Drosophila melanogaster: one gene and its partner. The protein of the gene in region 1 purifies or fractionates together with the protein of each later gene. This does not show direct contact. Each region holds a gene or a part of one and is shown on either strand. Other genes may lie near its edges.

The links.
Region 2: the proteins of Lac (region 1) and CG6959 purify together in Drosophila melanogaster (affinity purification with western blotting; one large-scale study listed by BioGRID). This does not show direct contact.

What each region holds. Positions count from the first base shown.
Region 1 is NT_033778.4:12,450,344-12,458,488, reverse strand, and holds the start of Lac (lachesin), read right to left. Parts: upstream 5,300-8,145; 5' UTR 4,973-5,299; coding exon 4,435-4,972; intron 1-4,434. Other genes in the region: Dyb (dystrobrevin), read right to left, coding at 7,199-7,575, 7,894-7,968. UniProt on the Drosophila melanogaster protein: Required for normal tracheal development and maintenance of the trans-epithelial diffusion barrier. Functions as a homophilic cell-adhesion molecule. May play a role in early neuronal differentiation and axon outgrowth.
Region 2 is NT_033777.3:11,864,686-11,872,962, forward strand, and holds the start of CG6959 (uncharacterized protein), read right to left. Parts: upstream 4,776-8,277; 5' UTR 4,110-4,775; intron 1-4,109.

The sequences.
Region 1 (8,145 bases):
AGACTGTACTTGCTCCGGCTTTATTCCGAAAATCATAAATCAGGGAATTGTAAGGAAAACTATTAAAATTGTAATTATGCCAAAAAAGAGAGAGCTGCAAGAAGGCTGACCGACGTAAATCCCTTGTGAGCCGAGTACCTAAATAAATATTGGCTAAGTCCCAAAGCAAACAATTCAGATGGCTGGGCGTGTGAGTTGGGTCGGAAAAGCCGCGAGTCCTTTTGTGTGAGAATGTGAGTGTGATAAGGATTAAAAAGCCGGTCTGAAGGTGAAACATGCAGCCAAGAGTGCTAAACAAATAAGGGAATTGCCACACCAAGAATGTATGCAAAGTGAAAGGGATTCTCGCAGGGCAAAACGGATCTTTGATGATTATTTATTCATTTAGAAATACGGGTATCTACGATGTTTTCATAGATAGCAGTACATTTATATACAAATAGTTTTCATGTACGTACGAACAAATAATAATATAACATGGATAATGATACATATTGCATTTGCAAGCAAAAACTGCTATATATATTGTCGTTGAAAAAGTCCACGAAAAGTGGCTAGGAACATGAGGAATGGCCTCATGGACACATGGAAAATGGAACGATTTGGTCGTGCACTTCGGCTATTAACTAACAAGTTATTACTTCGAGCTGAGTGAGTGCCACAAAGGGCTGACTGGCTGACTGGTTGGCTGTTCTGGCGATTCTCCGCATTTTGCGGCTGACTGAAAGCCGCCAGTTGGCCCCATGAAATGGCCATGTTGACCAAGTGGTCGTTGCCCCAGCAACCAACATTCACAAACAGGTTTTCTTGCCACAACGCTTCTTCTACGTCATCGCCGTTTATCGTGTTCCATGTTCCCGTTCTCGTTTTGCCTTCGACTTTGAGTTGGCCATAAACAATGCAGCGCGTTTGCAAACAGGAAGAGGAAACGGCAGCAGGACAAATAAAAACAGAGCGACCATCAAAGGATTCGGACCACTCCTCCGAATTGCCACCACTCCGCTTCCTAATTGCGAGTGAGTGTGCCAAACCTAATTGCTTGCAAATATTTTGAAACTCAAACACACAGCTGCCGCCTGTGGCATCTGAGGAATTTCATTATGCACAGCAAGCGAATATGCATGATTTCCATTATCCATCAAATTTAAAGGGGGGGCCAACTAATCTCGTGCACGGCCTGTTGAGATCTCGAGTTTAGCATCAATTGCGTATCGAAATGTTTAAGCATAAATATTATTACCATTAAGACTGGCACCCTTGCGTTTGATGGCAAAATTGGAGTACTTGATCTCATGCTCACTTGAGTCTAATTCGCAATTTGCCAGCAAACGCAATTTGCATGAAAGTTAATCAAGAATTTTCACCGAGGGAGAGTTTTCTGGACAAATACATAGTACTCCGCCGTAGACCGCGTTTCAGGTTCAGACACCCCGAAGTGATCTGTGCGCGAGATTCTCGCGCATAATTGAACAATTAAAGTTAATTTAGCATGATCCTCGATCCCTCGACGAGCGATAAGTATCTGAAAGATTCTCCGCTTCCGTTCGGAACAACAATGCCCCAATACGAATGGCGACAGCTGCCAGCCAGCGTTTGAAAATTCAGCAAAAAGTGAATTCAATTTCGCGTTGCTTTCTTTGCAGCTATCAGCTATCAGCTATGAGCCATCTCTTGTTTTCATTCGATGGGCCAAGGTGAGGTTTATTATGGCAGCCGATTTTGCATGGAGCAGCAGATACACATGTGCTTATACGGCAGATTGCCCCACGGTGCGCCGGGTTTTCAGGTGCCAGGTGCAAACACTGCATATGTCTGTGTTTACTCAATGGCCATCTACCATCTAGCAACTTGGTTTACCCATTCAATGTAACATACATGGGTTATACCTTAAAAAAAAAAGTGAAAAATAACCAATCGATTTGCATGGCAACGCACAAATTGGCATGGACCCGGGTCCCTCAACACCCCGAATACCAAAGAACCGGTGGACTGGCGAGCGGAAACGCTTGATTAGGGGTTCCTCAATGGGCACCACAGCCTGGGCGGGACGAAATGCGTTTCCAACCGGCTGATGGGATCAGGGGTTGTTTAGATGGAGGGGCATGGGCATGGCATGGGCATAGAAGGGCTCGAACCGCTCGCGGCTTGTTTGTTTGCATCTCTTACATTGTACTCGCCCCGGGAACCGCCGACCTTTGTTTGGGTTACCTTTTTAGCTTGTAATTTATATATATTTTGTATACTTCGATTGTATTTTGCCGGCTATCAAAATAAGAATTATGTAGCCGAGCAATACGAATGGTGGGAAGGGGAGGAGGTGTGGTGTTACCCAGGGTTGTGGGCCTGGGAGATTCTTTTGCAGGGGGCGCAGCCCATTTGCCATGCTCTCAGGATCCCTTTGTTTGCGTATGTTTGCTGTTTACTCGTTCCACCTCTGAGTTTCATTTTTCAGCTTTTTCATTTTTCATTTTTTTATACCACCCAAAAGCCCAGACCGTGTCTGATGTGTAAGAAACAGCCCTCTGCCGCAACGTTTTTGCACGGGTTGTTTGCCCGGAGTCGCAGAGTCGCAGAGTCGCAGATGAGGAGACCCGGAGACCATCAAACGGTCCGTGGAACGTTTTCAAGTTGCGGAAGCAATTGCGCGTGCTGAAGTTGTCGAATGCCTCAGAAACTCGAATGGGAATGGAAATGCGAAACGTGAAAAGCGGCACAAAGGCTGTGCAGTCGGAGCTCCTCGTCACGCCCACCTCTGTGTACACCTCTATGTCCTCGATGGCCTCGGAACTGCAACTCCCCCAACGACGATAGCCCTTGGAAAACATTTGACTCGGCTCGTTGGCGCATTTCAAAGCGCTGCTGGACGTGAAACTGTGCTGTTTGCCTAAGCGCTTTAAATTAGAGCGTGGAAAAGTGTGAAACTCCTGGCAAATACTGGACCTCAAACCCGGAGCCCTTTGATTTATGGCGGAATAAAGTTAAGCCATTCCTGGCCAGCCGTGGAGCGTATCCAACTGGTTGCGGTTGGGTTTTATAGCTTGTAACGCGGGGCACGCCTGGTTTTTATTTCATCATTTTTTTGTTTTGAACCCACAGAAGGAGCCCTCAATGCCGTGGCAATTAAAGATTGCACAAGCCGAAGCTGATAGCTGATAGATACAAAGCCCCGGGAATTAAGCTGGCTATCGGATGTAACGAAGCCCAGGTAGGGTGTGTCCGCGAGTCGGTTCTGGGTAATGAGTAACTCTCGGATTAGTTACACTAATTGCTTTCCAAATGACGCTGCAATCTTGTTAAGGACAGCCATTATGTTTTGCCCGAGGGTCGGAGTTCAGGTAAAGATCGCATCGAGATCGCTATGGAACAGCAGCACCTGTATGGGATTAACCTAGCGAGAAGATTCTATTGTTCCATCTACCTGGGCACCAAATTACTTTAGTGTTTTATTAGCTTTTCTCTTCCTTTCGAGAATTTCTGGATGGACAAGTAAACGCAAACAATTTGTAGATAGCATTTGCACTTGTCCGAAACGGAGTTTCCCGAGAAATATGGACCGTTTTCTTGGAATGGGAGGAACATAAAGAAGGTGAAGAAAAATAAATTTATTATTTCTGGCATGTACATATATAACCCCCCCATTTGGGTTTTTCCAAACTCGTCAAGTGTATGGATAAGAAATTTCATTTTGCGCAAATATCGATGATACATTATTCTAATAATCAAAAGAACATGTATTTATACAAAAGCCAAATATCATACATATGTACGTGCTGATTTCTTCAAAAGTAATGAATAATAAAATGGATTTAGAAAGAGAGAAGCTAGAATTGAGTTCCTTGCTAAGTTAAATAACAATCAAACTTTTTCGCACAACTTAATGTATTCTTGAGCTAACAAACTTGCTAGAAATTAGATTTTCCCTTGTTATTTGGTTAGACCTCTTTGCGAAACAATCTTCTAAGGCCCAACAAGGTAAACAAAGGGTAGCATGTGTATGTTTTCGAACGACAGAAGTTGGAAAACGGCCTAAAATGAAAAATCAATCTGCTGTTGCGAAACTCAGCCCTCGAAACAGGTGGGGGGTGGCAGGGCAGGGCTAGACCCCGTTTACCAGAACAGCCAGCCCAAGCCGAGTAAACAAAACTGAAAAACTAAGGTGACGCCTGAGTGAGTCACGGTCACTCACACTGGAGCCCAGAGCATCGAGCCCAGTTAAAAGCCCCCATTCCCAGCCATCCCAGCTAAAACCTAATGCCAAAGCGGGACGGACAGAGCTACCTGACCAGAGAGCGGGAGCCAAGAGAACGGAGAGAGAGAGAGAGCGAAGAGGGAGAGAGAGAAGTGGAGAACGCGCCCCACCAAACGAAAGCTGACTTAGCCAGCGTACCCAGCGTAACCCAAGATAATCACCCACAAATAAATGAAGAAACTCACCAGTTGGCAGAATGGCATTGTTCTCGCGCCTCCAGGTGATGGTGGGTGTGGGATAGCCGCTGGCGTAGCACTCCATCTGGACCTCGCTGCCCTCGCTGGCCACCACCGACTGCGTGGAGTTGTCCGAGATGACGGGGGGACGGCGCACCGATAGCTTCACTTCGGCGCTCACTTTGTGAACGGTGGAGATCACCACCTGGCAGGTGTAGGTGCCCGCGTCCGTCTCCTGAATGTCCTTGATCTGCAGCTTGTAGGTGGACGAGTTGGGATCGTACCGCAGCGAGAAGCGCGAATCCTTGATGACCAGCGTGGAGCCCGTGGAGAGGAAGACGGGATCGCTGTCCGTCTTCAGGAACAGCACGTTGTACTCTTTGGCATACTGGACGGAGCAATCGAACTCCACTGTGCCGCCGATATCCTTGATCTGCTCCTGCGTGATGTAGGATATGGTCGGGGTTCGCTGTGCTAGCGTTTGCTGCACAAAAATGGCCAGGAGCAGGGTGCTCCACACGCAATTCGAGATACTCGGCCGCCACATCTTAGAAATTGACTTTTAGCACCACACCCTGCAAGCGCGCGATTTAATATATGTAGTGTTTCTCAAGAGCTGCGCTCCAAGATCTCAATCTTCTCCAAATAGGGTGAGAGCGCGGCGAAGACGTCTCCAAGAAACCGAAGACAACTATTGCCGTTTCTTTCTTGAGCACAGCAAACGCGGATGCTGAACTGCAGTCTCCACACTTGTCTTCTCGCTCAGAGCTGGTTTCAGACTTCTTCTCTCGATCAGTCACGAGTTTTGGCCAAGACGGAGATAACGCGCCGGAGAGACAACTTCACAGTTCGAAAGTCGCGAAACGAATGAATCTCTGGCTTTGAAAAGTGCGCCATCAAGAGCGCAACTTGCCTGGAGATGGGCACCTTGAATGTGCCTAAATAAAGACAGTAGTGTTATCGGTATGCAACATAGCTCAGACTCAAACCAGAGATAGCATATGGTTGATATACTAAGTGGAGACACACACTCGAAAATCAGATGGCAACGCCATTCCTCTTGGAACCAATGGCATCCTCAAATTAATTTGAAATTTAAAATGAAATTTCAAGCTAGTAACTTCATTTCAAAATAAAAACGTTCATTCTTTGTGATTGTTTAAAATGCCTTTTTATTTAATTTTCTCTTTCTTGTTATTTTATTCAGTAGTTATGTATAAGTTCTATAAATGTCGGATTTTCTCTATATCGTGCTCTATGCCGTTACGATTATATGGTATAACTTTTTTGTATGAATGCATATTATAAATGGATAATATATAAATCGTGTTTAGTTTTTCGTTTTAGTGTTCAACATTGGGCTTCTCTTTCATGTGATTCAAATAGTTGTTGGCTTTATCGTATCTCAAAGTGTATAATGTATATATATATATAATGTAGAGCATTTAGAATTTGATTTTAGGTTCTCAACAAGTTGCTAGTTATTAAGTACATAATATGTCAATGTCTATATCGTATTTGTATTACGCATTACGTGATTTGATTTTCCATTTGTTAAGTTTCTTGGTAATAAATATCCGCTGACGGGGGCGCTTACACAATCTAAAAGCCAATTACGAATCGCGGAAACCTAAAATTAAAACACCATACCTCTTATTGCCCTTTAGCAGTACGATCGTAAAAGTTTCAACGAGATTCAATGGTTTTGCGACTTCGAAGAGCAGTGCAACTGCAAGTCTTTTTTATCAGCTATATTCATATCTTTTGCTTCAGTAAAATAATCATATAGATGCATATATCCGTTTACATATCTGTGTTTTCTGTGTAGATAGCAATCTTCAAAGTATAAATTATAATGATTAAGGTAGTGTAGGCTACGGCTCAGTAAAATAATCAATAAATAAATTGCTCTAAGTCAACGTATGAGTTAAGGTAAGGTAGAAAGCTAAGCGAGAATTCGTCTTCATCCATCCAGCTGCCTCTGGAGATTCCCAGTCCTGCGGTTTCCACTGGTAGCCAGTTCTTAGTTCTTCTGCGAATTAAGACTCCATTGTGCAAACTGCTCCTGCCATTGGCTATTCGCATTTGCCTGTGGAAACATAGAAATCTGTATTAAAATAAGTCATCGAAGCCTCATGTTTTCTCTTTAATCGTACTCAAGATCTTTGGCATGCAAGGCAATTGGAAAGTAGCAATCACTACACTAGCTACAGGATATATAGATATATATTCGAATTATGTTTCGGATATCGAGTGCATGTACAGAGAGAAATAGATAAATAAGGATAGACAACGGCAAAGAACAACATCTAGATCAACAGTGAGCAGGATTTCATGGCGAAATCCTTTACCTTTTCATTCCACTCTTGGTTATACGATTGAGATTCGTCGAAATCTGAAATTGATCAAGTTTGCGGTGAGCATATGTATTATCGGTATCATGGCTCAAATCAAAATCAGACAATTTATTCGAATCCTTTGAGTCAAGCAGCCAACGTGAATCAAATCTAGAGACTAACTAGGATGAGCTGACTGAGATTGATTGATATATATATAGAGAGAGAGAGAGACGGTTGAGAGTGCAGCAATGATGATGAGCTATGTTGTAGAACTATAGAAGTAACTATAGATAGAGCCCCGACTGGAAACTACCTGAGGTGGAGTGGAAGTTCGTGAGTCGAGCGAGCTACGATGGTCTATACTGTAGAGGCAGCAGTAGATTTTGCATATTTTACCTGATCACAGAGTATATATATAACCTACGACGAACACTTTATATATTCAGACTATACTTCATGATATAAGCATGCATGATCAGCTGCAGTTCATCGATTGTCTCACCGATCTCGTGCAGCGCCGGGAAACCGGCCTGCTCATCGTCGATGAACAGTTCGGGGTGGTTGCGATAGCCCAGGATGCGGTTCACCTGGGACAGCTCCTCGCCCTGCCCGAAAGTGTAATCAAAGTGGTCCTCCTCGTGAACGCCGCTAGTAGGGAACAAGGAGTATGCATTCCCAAATGGAGCTGCAGCTCCCTCGCACTCGAGATCCTCGTCGGTGCGGAACACCTCCTCGTACTCCCCGCACTCGCAATCGTTGCACTCGCACTGACTCGAGTCCTCGGACTCGCCACCCTCGATGTGTCGGAATTCTTAATCGGATTTTTTGGGCGATTTTGTTTTTTGTTTGTTTTGATTTGGTTTGGTTTTTTGGATGGGCAGGGTTCCCCGATTTAACATACAGAAGAAATGAGCGAAAATTATAAAGGGCAACTAACCAAACTGGGAGGAGCTCAATATTTGCAGCATTTTTTCTTATGCCGTCTATTGGGGTAATAATCTAAAATCAAATGGTTTGGAAAAAAAAACGAAGAAAACAAAACGGAAAATTGATCGCTTTAGAGAAGTGGGAACCAGCAGGAGTTGGAGGAGCGTTTCAGTTCGGATCGATGCAGCCCGGGACAACTTACCCAGTGGCATGATGAAGCGAGCCTGCGGTATGGAGCTCGCCGGCTGGGGACCCAGCTGCTGTGCCCTTCCCCGTCCTGGAAAATGGCCAGACCCAAAGACACAATACGCACACCGAAAAAGAACACGGATAAGCACAGAGTGAAAACATTCCATTTGGAGCTGGGATTGTGTTTGGTTTGGTGGCTCTAGAAGCGGTGCTACTACGAAATCTACGTGCTGGTGCAGTGCAGATCACCATTCACGAGCAACTC
Region 2 (8,277 bases), on another chromosome or scaffold:
CTGATATAACACGAATTTTAGATAAAAGAAGAATTTTTTAATAAGATTATATTTAGAAAATTTTTTTTCCACTTTGAATAAATATGATAACACTGTATTTCATCTGAACTCCCATTTTAAATTTGAATAGAACCAACAACTTTTGCTACCCTGTAGAATTTCCGGAGTAAATAGATAATGGAGAAAGCAGAGCGCGCAGAAATGAGAAAAGAAAATTTTCACGAAGCTGGCTGCTTGTGGCACGTTTCACCCACACATACACCGAATCATGCACACACCTGACCGTGGCTGAAAAGGGTGGTGGTGGCGCGGGGAGGGGGCCAGACTTGTGGCATGCCTCAAAGGCAAATGTGGCTCAGACGGAAAACGCATAGAGAGACATTTCGGCGTGCCAAAGCTAAAGATGGAAAAAAAGAGATGCGAAACGGAGAAGAATTCTCTACCCACCGGAACTTTAGTAGCACACCTCTTTAACACGTAAGCGACAATTACGTTGCCGCAGTTGCAGTTGCAAGATACAGATACATCAGCAACAGCCACAGAAACGGCGAGGAAAATGGAGAGAAAAATCAAGCCGTGAGTCATAAATTCGCATCGACGCCTCCGCGTTTTTTATTTTGTTTACACTTTTTTTTTTGCGCAGACACAGCAGGGGAGTGGTAAGTGCGGGGTGGGGGGCGGTGGATAAATGCAGCCAGCCAGTCGGGTGAGAGATAAAGATAATGTATGCGGCATGGCTTACACAATGTATCTGAGAGATACAAAACAATTAAAGGCAGCCGGCAAAGGCTTTAATTGTGATTTTATGCAAATGTTTGCCAAGCCCCAGATTCTTTAAGGTTCTGCCAGTCGATTGAATTGAATGTCCCCGGCAGGCTTAAATCACTTTATGTAATATTTATTCCACCTTCTTTCCTGACTCATCTCCACTGTCGGGACATTGGTTATTGTATATTTTTGCTGCAAATATTTTCCCCATGAAATCAGAATCAGTTCTGCGGGTTTCCCCCGCTGGTTGTATCTGAATTTTGTGCTAGCTAGCTGGTTTTAGCCCCACTCATTCCTTCGCATTTGAAGCACTTGCAATTTAGTTGAAATTGTCTTCCAAGCTACACAACAATAGCAGCTGCGTAACTGCCCCCCTCTACAAACTTCTAGTTGCAGATTGCAGGCTGGGATCAAGTTGCAGTACGCTTATCCTTAATTCTTGACTGACTTTGATTGACAGGAAACATGGAAAATTAAACAAGCGATTTCCACTTATCTGTGACTGATGTAAGTTACTTCTAAATTATATCAATTGCTTGGTAATGGAAGATTTATAAGATATGGATTATTAACCTTTCATCAAGTATCTGAGAATATATACTTTGTATAATCATTTAAGATTTTATTTACTGCAATAATTGCATTGGTTTCGCGGCAGAATGTTTAGTCATTTGTTGAATTGATTTTAGTTTGACTTTTCTAGCTGCATATTTTCATTCAATTTCCTTTGGCTTGCAATATTCTTTGTCCAAAAAGAAGAACATTTTTGGCAATTTAATTAAAACACTCAGATATTTCTGGTTTCGACTCATTGGCAATCATTGCAACCACCTGACCAGAATTCTATCCGCAATTGCCCAGTTTGAAGCAGAGAGAGCACTGCAATTACCTACATCCCTTGGCCAAGCCACAAGCTAAGTAAATATCTCAAAACAAAGGTAACTATTTTTGTAGCTCAGTTTCAACCACAGAAAGTATAACCCTTTCTCCCATGCTGTCAAGTCGAAAGTCCAAAGTTATCGCTCCATAAATGTAAATGTATTTGATTGCCATTTTTGCAAATATATCCTTGGCTGGACATGAGAATGGCATGAGAAGTAATTAAAGAAAATATTCTTTGTTTTTCTTTCATTGGCTTTGCGAATGGAATGGGCGGAAATGGGGCAAAAACAGATCATGAACATTTGCCACCGAAATAAATATCCATTGAATTTGCTGAAAAGGGTTCAAGGATATGGACTTCCTTCCTGGCCAGGGCAATAAAACATAACAAGTTGTCACAAGTGTGACACTGATTGAAATTATAAACTGTCACCAGCAGGGACATCCCTCGGATGCGTAGATACACCCATCCACACACACACACGTTCGAGTGGGTGTCGTACCATGTATATTATTTGAGATTTTTGCATACAAATTATGCCAAAAGTCTGTCCCTTGGCAACTGCAGCAAATGTATTCCAAATATTTGCCCGGTGAAAGTGTTGGCGATATAAGGACGAGAGGGCGTGTGCTAAAGGACGAAGGCTTCAGGGGGGAAATATTCGGTGGCTGGATAAAGTTTTGGCCTGCTGCTGTGCGATAGAAAAAATATTGTTGCGCATTAAGTCTGGCTTGCTGGGCTAGTTGGCAGTTTTAGTCCTCGGCTCCAGTGGCAGATGCACTGCATCCCAAACAGCCTGCATATTAACCTACCCAACTCCCATCATCATTCTGGCTGCATAAACTTTTAATTTGTGCGTAGCTAGCGAAAGTATATGAAAAATGGCACGAAAACAAAAGTTCCCCATAAAAAGTAGACGCATGGATGCAGGTCCATGGACACCATGGACACACCATACAAGGAGGACGAAGACAGGGGCACAGGAGTCCGTAATTGAGGCAAACTGTGAAATACGAGTACATAAAGTCTCGGCAAAAGCAGGCCAAACAAATTAAAAAGGCGCAAGCAGCGGGGCAACATTGGGGTAGATCGGGATACAGGGATTGAAAGATAATTAAGTGAGTGCGCAAAAAAGATGAAGACCGCAACGGAGGTAGTCAAAGTATCTGATGTCCTTAAAAAAATTGTGCACAGTGATTGACTTCAATATTAAATGCCGTAAGGTACAATGTATTTATTACAATGTAATTATTCTGGGGGCTATATTGGTTAGGCGTATGTAGTAAATATATAAGATAGTGGAACTCTCGGCCCAGTTAATTCGATTCAACATTACTTCATTGAATTTCCCTCGTTAATCAGGTATTGATTAGGCCAATAAATAATGCAGGCAAGCAAAGCCAAATTGTTCTACAATACATTGAAGAGCAAACAATTCATGCTCCCAATACTAGCCCCACGATGGGGAAAACTAAGTAGACAGTGGGGATAAGAACGAGTTAAGTAAATTTCAATTAGTTAGTACCTCGCCATAAAAAGGGCTAAATAAGAGACTGCGAAGGAGGAAGAAGTTCACCCAAAAAAAAGGAAAAAACAACTCTTCCATATTCCTGAAAAGTTGGCTTCGGCTTAAAGTTGACAATTAAAAACTTTTCGGAGCTTTTCGTGTTTTGTTGTAGGTTCTTTTGTTGTTGTTTTGCCTTTGCTATAGGTTGTTGTTGCCTTCTCTTGTCTAAATTAGTTTTTTTATTGCCCTTACATACAGTAGTATCATTTTTTGACAAAAAATGGTTATTGAGTTTGCAAATATAATCTTAATTCAATTAAGTTCGAGATTTAATTCAAAATAAATCCAGAAATTCTTGTATTACAAATTTTTAATACTTATTTTAATATTATACATATTTAATATTTTCCGAACTTGAACGATATTCAAACCTAAAGTTTTTATATGATTAATTAACCGATTGAATATGATGACTGAAAAGTGTAGTAAAAACGGCAAGCGTGTAAAAAGTTCGTGTATCTGAAAGTTGGCAATTTTGATCTATTTTTGCCCAAATTGAGAGACAAAGTTTGGCAAAAGCAAAACTGTGCAAATTAGTTTAGTTTACTGGTGTTTTGTTGTTGCTCCAAAATGATTTACATTTTCTGGGTTCTCGAATCAAATTAGAGTTGTCTCCGGTTCTGCTTGGTCAAATAAAGAATGCCTCAACAAGTTGTTGGTGGTTTTTTATTTTTTATTTTTTGCAAAGAGTGGAGAGAGGGGTTTTTTTGGGGAGGGGAGAGGGGCAATGCTTAGGGACAGATTCTCCGATCAAATTAAAGTTACTTTTCACATACGACAAAAGCCAGTTTGCTACTCCGCTGGCGTTGACGTCGACTTCGGCAGCGAAAGCCGCGACATGTGGGCGGTAAAACACACACAGATACACACGCACACCACTGAACAACTCACCTCGGTCAAAACGCTGCGACTGCGCTGCTTTCGATTCTGCTACGGCGGTTCGAAACTGGTTTTCGTATGCTATAGCTATATGCTATATGCCATTTGCTTATATGTACATATAGTATTTCTGGCTTAGCTTCTCTTCTCGTCCCGTCGATATGTGCCTGTATATGTACTGCTTTGGTATTTCACCTCTTCTTCTTTTTATATTTCCAATATATATGTGTTTTTTATGGCGTTGCGAAACACTCGAGTAGGCTTGTGCAGTTGTTGTTGTTGTTGTTGATGTTGGCAGCCTGTGGGTTCTGTTGGCCCATATGAGACAAGCATTCAATTAAGCCCCACAATTGGCCAGCAAACAAAAGAAATCACACAAGTAAACACAATTCCTCACTGTTTCACCCATACGAGCACAGCTAACCTGTGAGCTTCACTTGTCGCGCGCGCGCTTTTCCTCAGCTTTTCCTCGACCGCGTGGGCGCAGATGTGGGCGTTGGGTTGGTCGGAGCGGCAGCGACGGCGGGACGATGGACGGGATAGAACGGACCGCCAAGCGGCTGGCTAGTGGTTTCAAAGTACGTTGCTAGTAGCGAGATTCTCCAGAGCGATTGATTTACCCAGACGACAAGCGCGCGACGACACATCCGCACAGCACAAAGTTTATAAACAAACTGAAAACTGTAGCCGAGCAGCGACGCCGAGCGCCAATGGCAGCAGCGTCGCGACAGAGGGAGGGCAGAGAAGCAGCCCCACAATGGCAGCCGGCTTCAAACGCGTTCGATGGTAGCCGGCAACTCCAACATGTTCGAAAGAAAACGAAGATTGGGGTGTTGGGGCTGAGCTGCAGTAGAAACAAATTGATATTACAAAACTGTTGTAATTGAACCTTTAATCAGGCCCAACTTTAAGGTAACTAGCGTTTAATACGACAATTTAAAGTGGTCGAAATGCATTAAATGCAAATATGCCTATGCATTTGCTAGTGAACTTAAATCACAAAAATGCTAACAAGATTGATATGCCTACTCATATGTCAGTTTTATGTCAGCTAATGAATAATAATATATACAATTATAGAATTTTAAAATTACTGAAAAATCTTCCTAAATAGTAACTATTTATACTGTATTATAGTCCACTTAGCAATAAGAAACAAGCTAAAAAAGCCACAGAACTTCTGAATCCACCCTCGCTTTGATTTTTGGTCTGCCAACCTGTTTGAGTTCGATGTGTTGCATTCGCAGTGGGCTCCAAAACTCCCCAGACGACAGAAGAGTATAAATAGCAGGTAAGGAGGATTTAAGAGCCACCGCGATTAAACCCATTTGATTTTGCGCCAAAAAACTACTAATTTTAGTAACAAATGCTAACCCTGCGCTTTTCATTTAAGCCAGGCTTTCATGCATTACATTTCATTTTCATTTTTCTTAGTCGCTGATTGTTTGTTGATGTCATGGAGCGGTTTTTCTAGATATATATGTATATGTACGTGTATATGTATTGTTTTTTTGCTGCTGCTGACGCTGCTTCTGTCACCAATGATGTTGTTTTTGTTGTTGTCGCTGCCGCCGCTGTCGTCGTTGCTAAGTCAATTTTAAGGTTTATTTGAATTTCATTTTTCCTAGTTTTTCTTTAGCGTTTTTTCGCTTCTTTACTTTGACAGCGGACGTTGTTGTTGATATTTTTAGTGTTTTATGTAAATTTTCCAAGGCGCTATTGAAGCCAGGTTTGTGCCCACTCCCAAGTACATACATACAAACATAGATATATGCATAGTTGCTAATGAGGTTGGCTTTATGCCCGTGGCTTTATGCCCGGCCATACTTATTGGTGGCGCAGGCTTTTTGCTCCTGCATCACTTTCCCTTCAAGCCTGTTGCTTGTGTGTGTTTGCTGCGAACTAATAACGAATTAATTTTGATTTGAATTATTCATGCTCGGCTCAACACACTCACAAATGGGAGTTTGGCAACACACAAACACACACATGCATGCACATTGACAAATAAATTAGCATTTCGAAAAGGGGATAAGCCGATTTAACACGAAATATGCAATTACCGCACTGGAAAATCCGTTTTGGATATCAAAATCAAATTCAAATCGAATTCCCCATTTTAACTGCCGTGATAAATACACGCCTACTGCTTGAAATAGAATAGAATAGACGTATGCAGACAATCTATTCTTAGTAACAATAACTGCATTATAAATAAATACTGAAATATATATGAAACTTAACATTCCACGTTGATGTCATCCTGTTTTGCCGGCAGTTAGCAGATATACTCCGGAATCTTCTGACGATCGGTTATCTGACTTAATTCGGATTTAACTAAGTCTCCTTTCCTTTCTTGCTATCTGCCTTTAGCAGGCAATCAGCAAAGACAACAGGCAGGTGAAAGGGGCAAGGTGAATGGAGAAAGTCTGAGACCCCCATTTCTCTCCTTTCAAACAGCTATCCTTTCGGTACCGTTAATGATGATGCCACACACGTGTTCCTGCCGCTCTGTGCGTATGTGTGTGTGAGGAAGATGCAGCTGAGCTCCAGTAGGATGCACTCATGCAGCTTGATTGGCCTCCTCCTCGTTTAACCAGCCAAGCTCCACCTTTCACCACCCCCAACCCCCCAGCCACCCTGCATTCCGCCCACTGAATGACAGTCAAAGCCGAAGAAGGAAAACAGGCGGTGCGGGAGGGTAAGCTGGGTGAGACGGAGAAAATAACTTCCTGTACTTTATGTTTTACTACTTTTTTTTGCCTCGATAAATAAATGGGTTAGTATTACCAAGGACACCTGATATACGGCAAAAATGAGGCAGGAGACTCATGCTAAATTGAAAAAGTAGGCATAGCAACTGAATAAATTGCTAGAGGAAATAAGGATGATAAAGTGGGGGGGCATGGTAAATAATACAATAAGGGTACCTTACGCAAGGTTGACTACGTCATAGAAGAGTAATTAAAATAACAACGCTCTTCTGAAAATATGAAAATGTGAACAGAATAGCGAACAACATATCAGTTAAAATGTACTAACTTCCAATGAAACGAGAAATGACCTAACTGCTGTCAAACTTTTTAGACAATCCGAATATGAAATGACTTGACTCGCGTTGGTTCCATTCAAATTGGTTGTCGTTATCCGTGGACACTGACCACTGGCCCCATCAGAAACCCCCTTTGTGGGCTAATTAGTTGGGCCGCAGAACGGAGTCAAGTCGGGAATTATTATAGCGCTGATAAAGCCCTGCCTCTGCCCACAAAATGCCATCATCATCATCGATGGCGCCGCAACTGTCAGTGCAGTTTGGGCCATGATTTATGTGTGGATTTGGCCAAGGGGGGGGATTAAAATAAACATTTCGGCCCGAACTGAACTGAACTGAACCGAAAACCAGACAAAGCCAAACAAAACTATTGCTAATGAGGTCCGCAATGCGCGTGGCAAATAAATTCAGGGGGCAGCTGACCTCTAACCTTCGAACCCGCACTCACGCATTCACCCCTTTTGCCACACTTCACCCTTTTGGCCGCCAAAAAAAAAAAAAAAACGGGCTACTCCGCTAATGACCAAAAGCGGATTTCGCATTGCAGGCAATTATTATTTCTTGTTCTTCCTTTGCCTTTATTTTTTTAAACATAAATTTAACTAAGCCGCTCAAGTGGTGACCCTACGAAAGCACCCTCACTTGCCATTTACTCGGAGAAAGTAACCTCCGAAAGTAAATAAAACCCGGTGAAGCGTTTCAGTTTTGTACATTGCTTGATTCACGGCTAATGCGAGGATATCAAATTTAATTTTGCGTAATTAATGTTTCCCAAACTTCCATTCGCTGCCCTTTCCAACCTTGATAGAGGTCCAAATCATGACCAAAAGAAAATTCATTAATATGATTTAGGCCCAAAGGATAAACAACAAAAACATGGGCTTAAAGGCATAAAACCTTTCAAAACAAACCAAAAAACAACAACGAAAAAAGCGAACATTTGGAGTACCTGTTCTTTGTAAAGCAAAAGGGGTATACCCAATTGGATTATTAAGATTATAAATATATTTATTATGTGCGATTTTTTATATCTACTATATGAGTTAGAAGGCTGTGATTTTAAGCTTGCATATTGATATCTTGCAGTCATTATCAGCCTTTTTTGTAAAGGGTATCTTATGGTCGAGA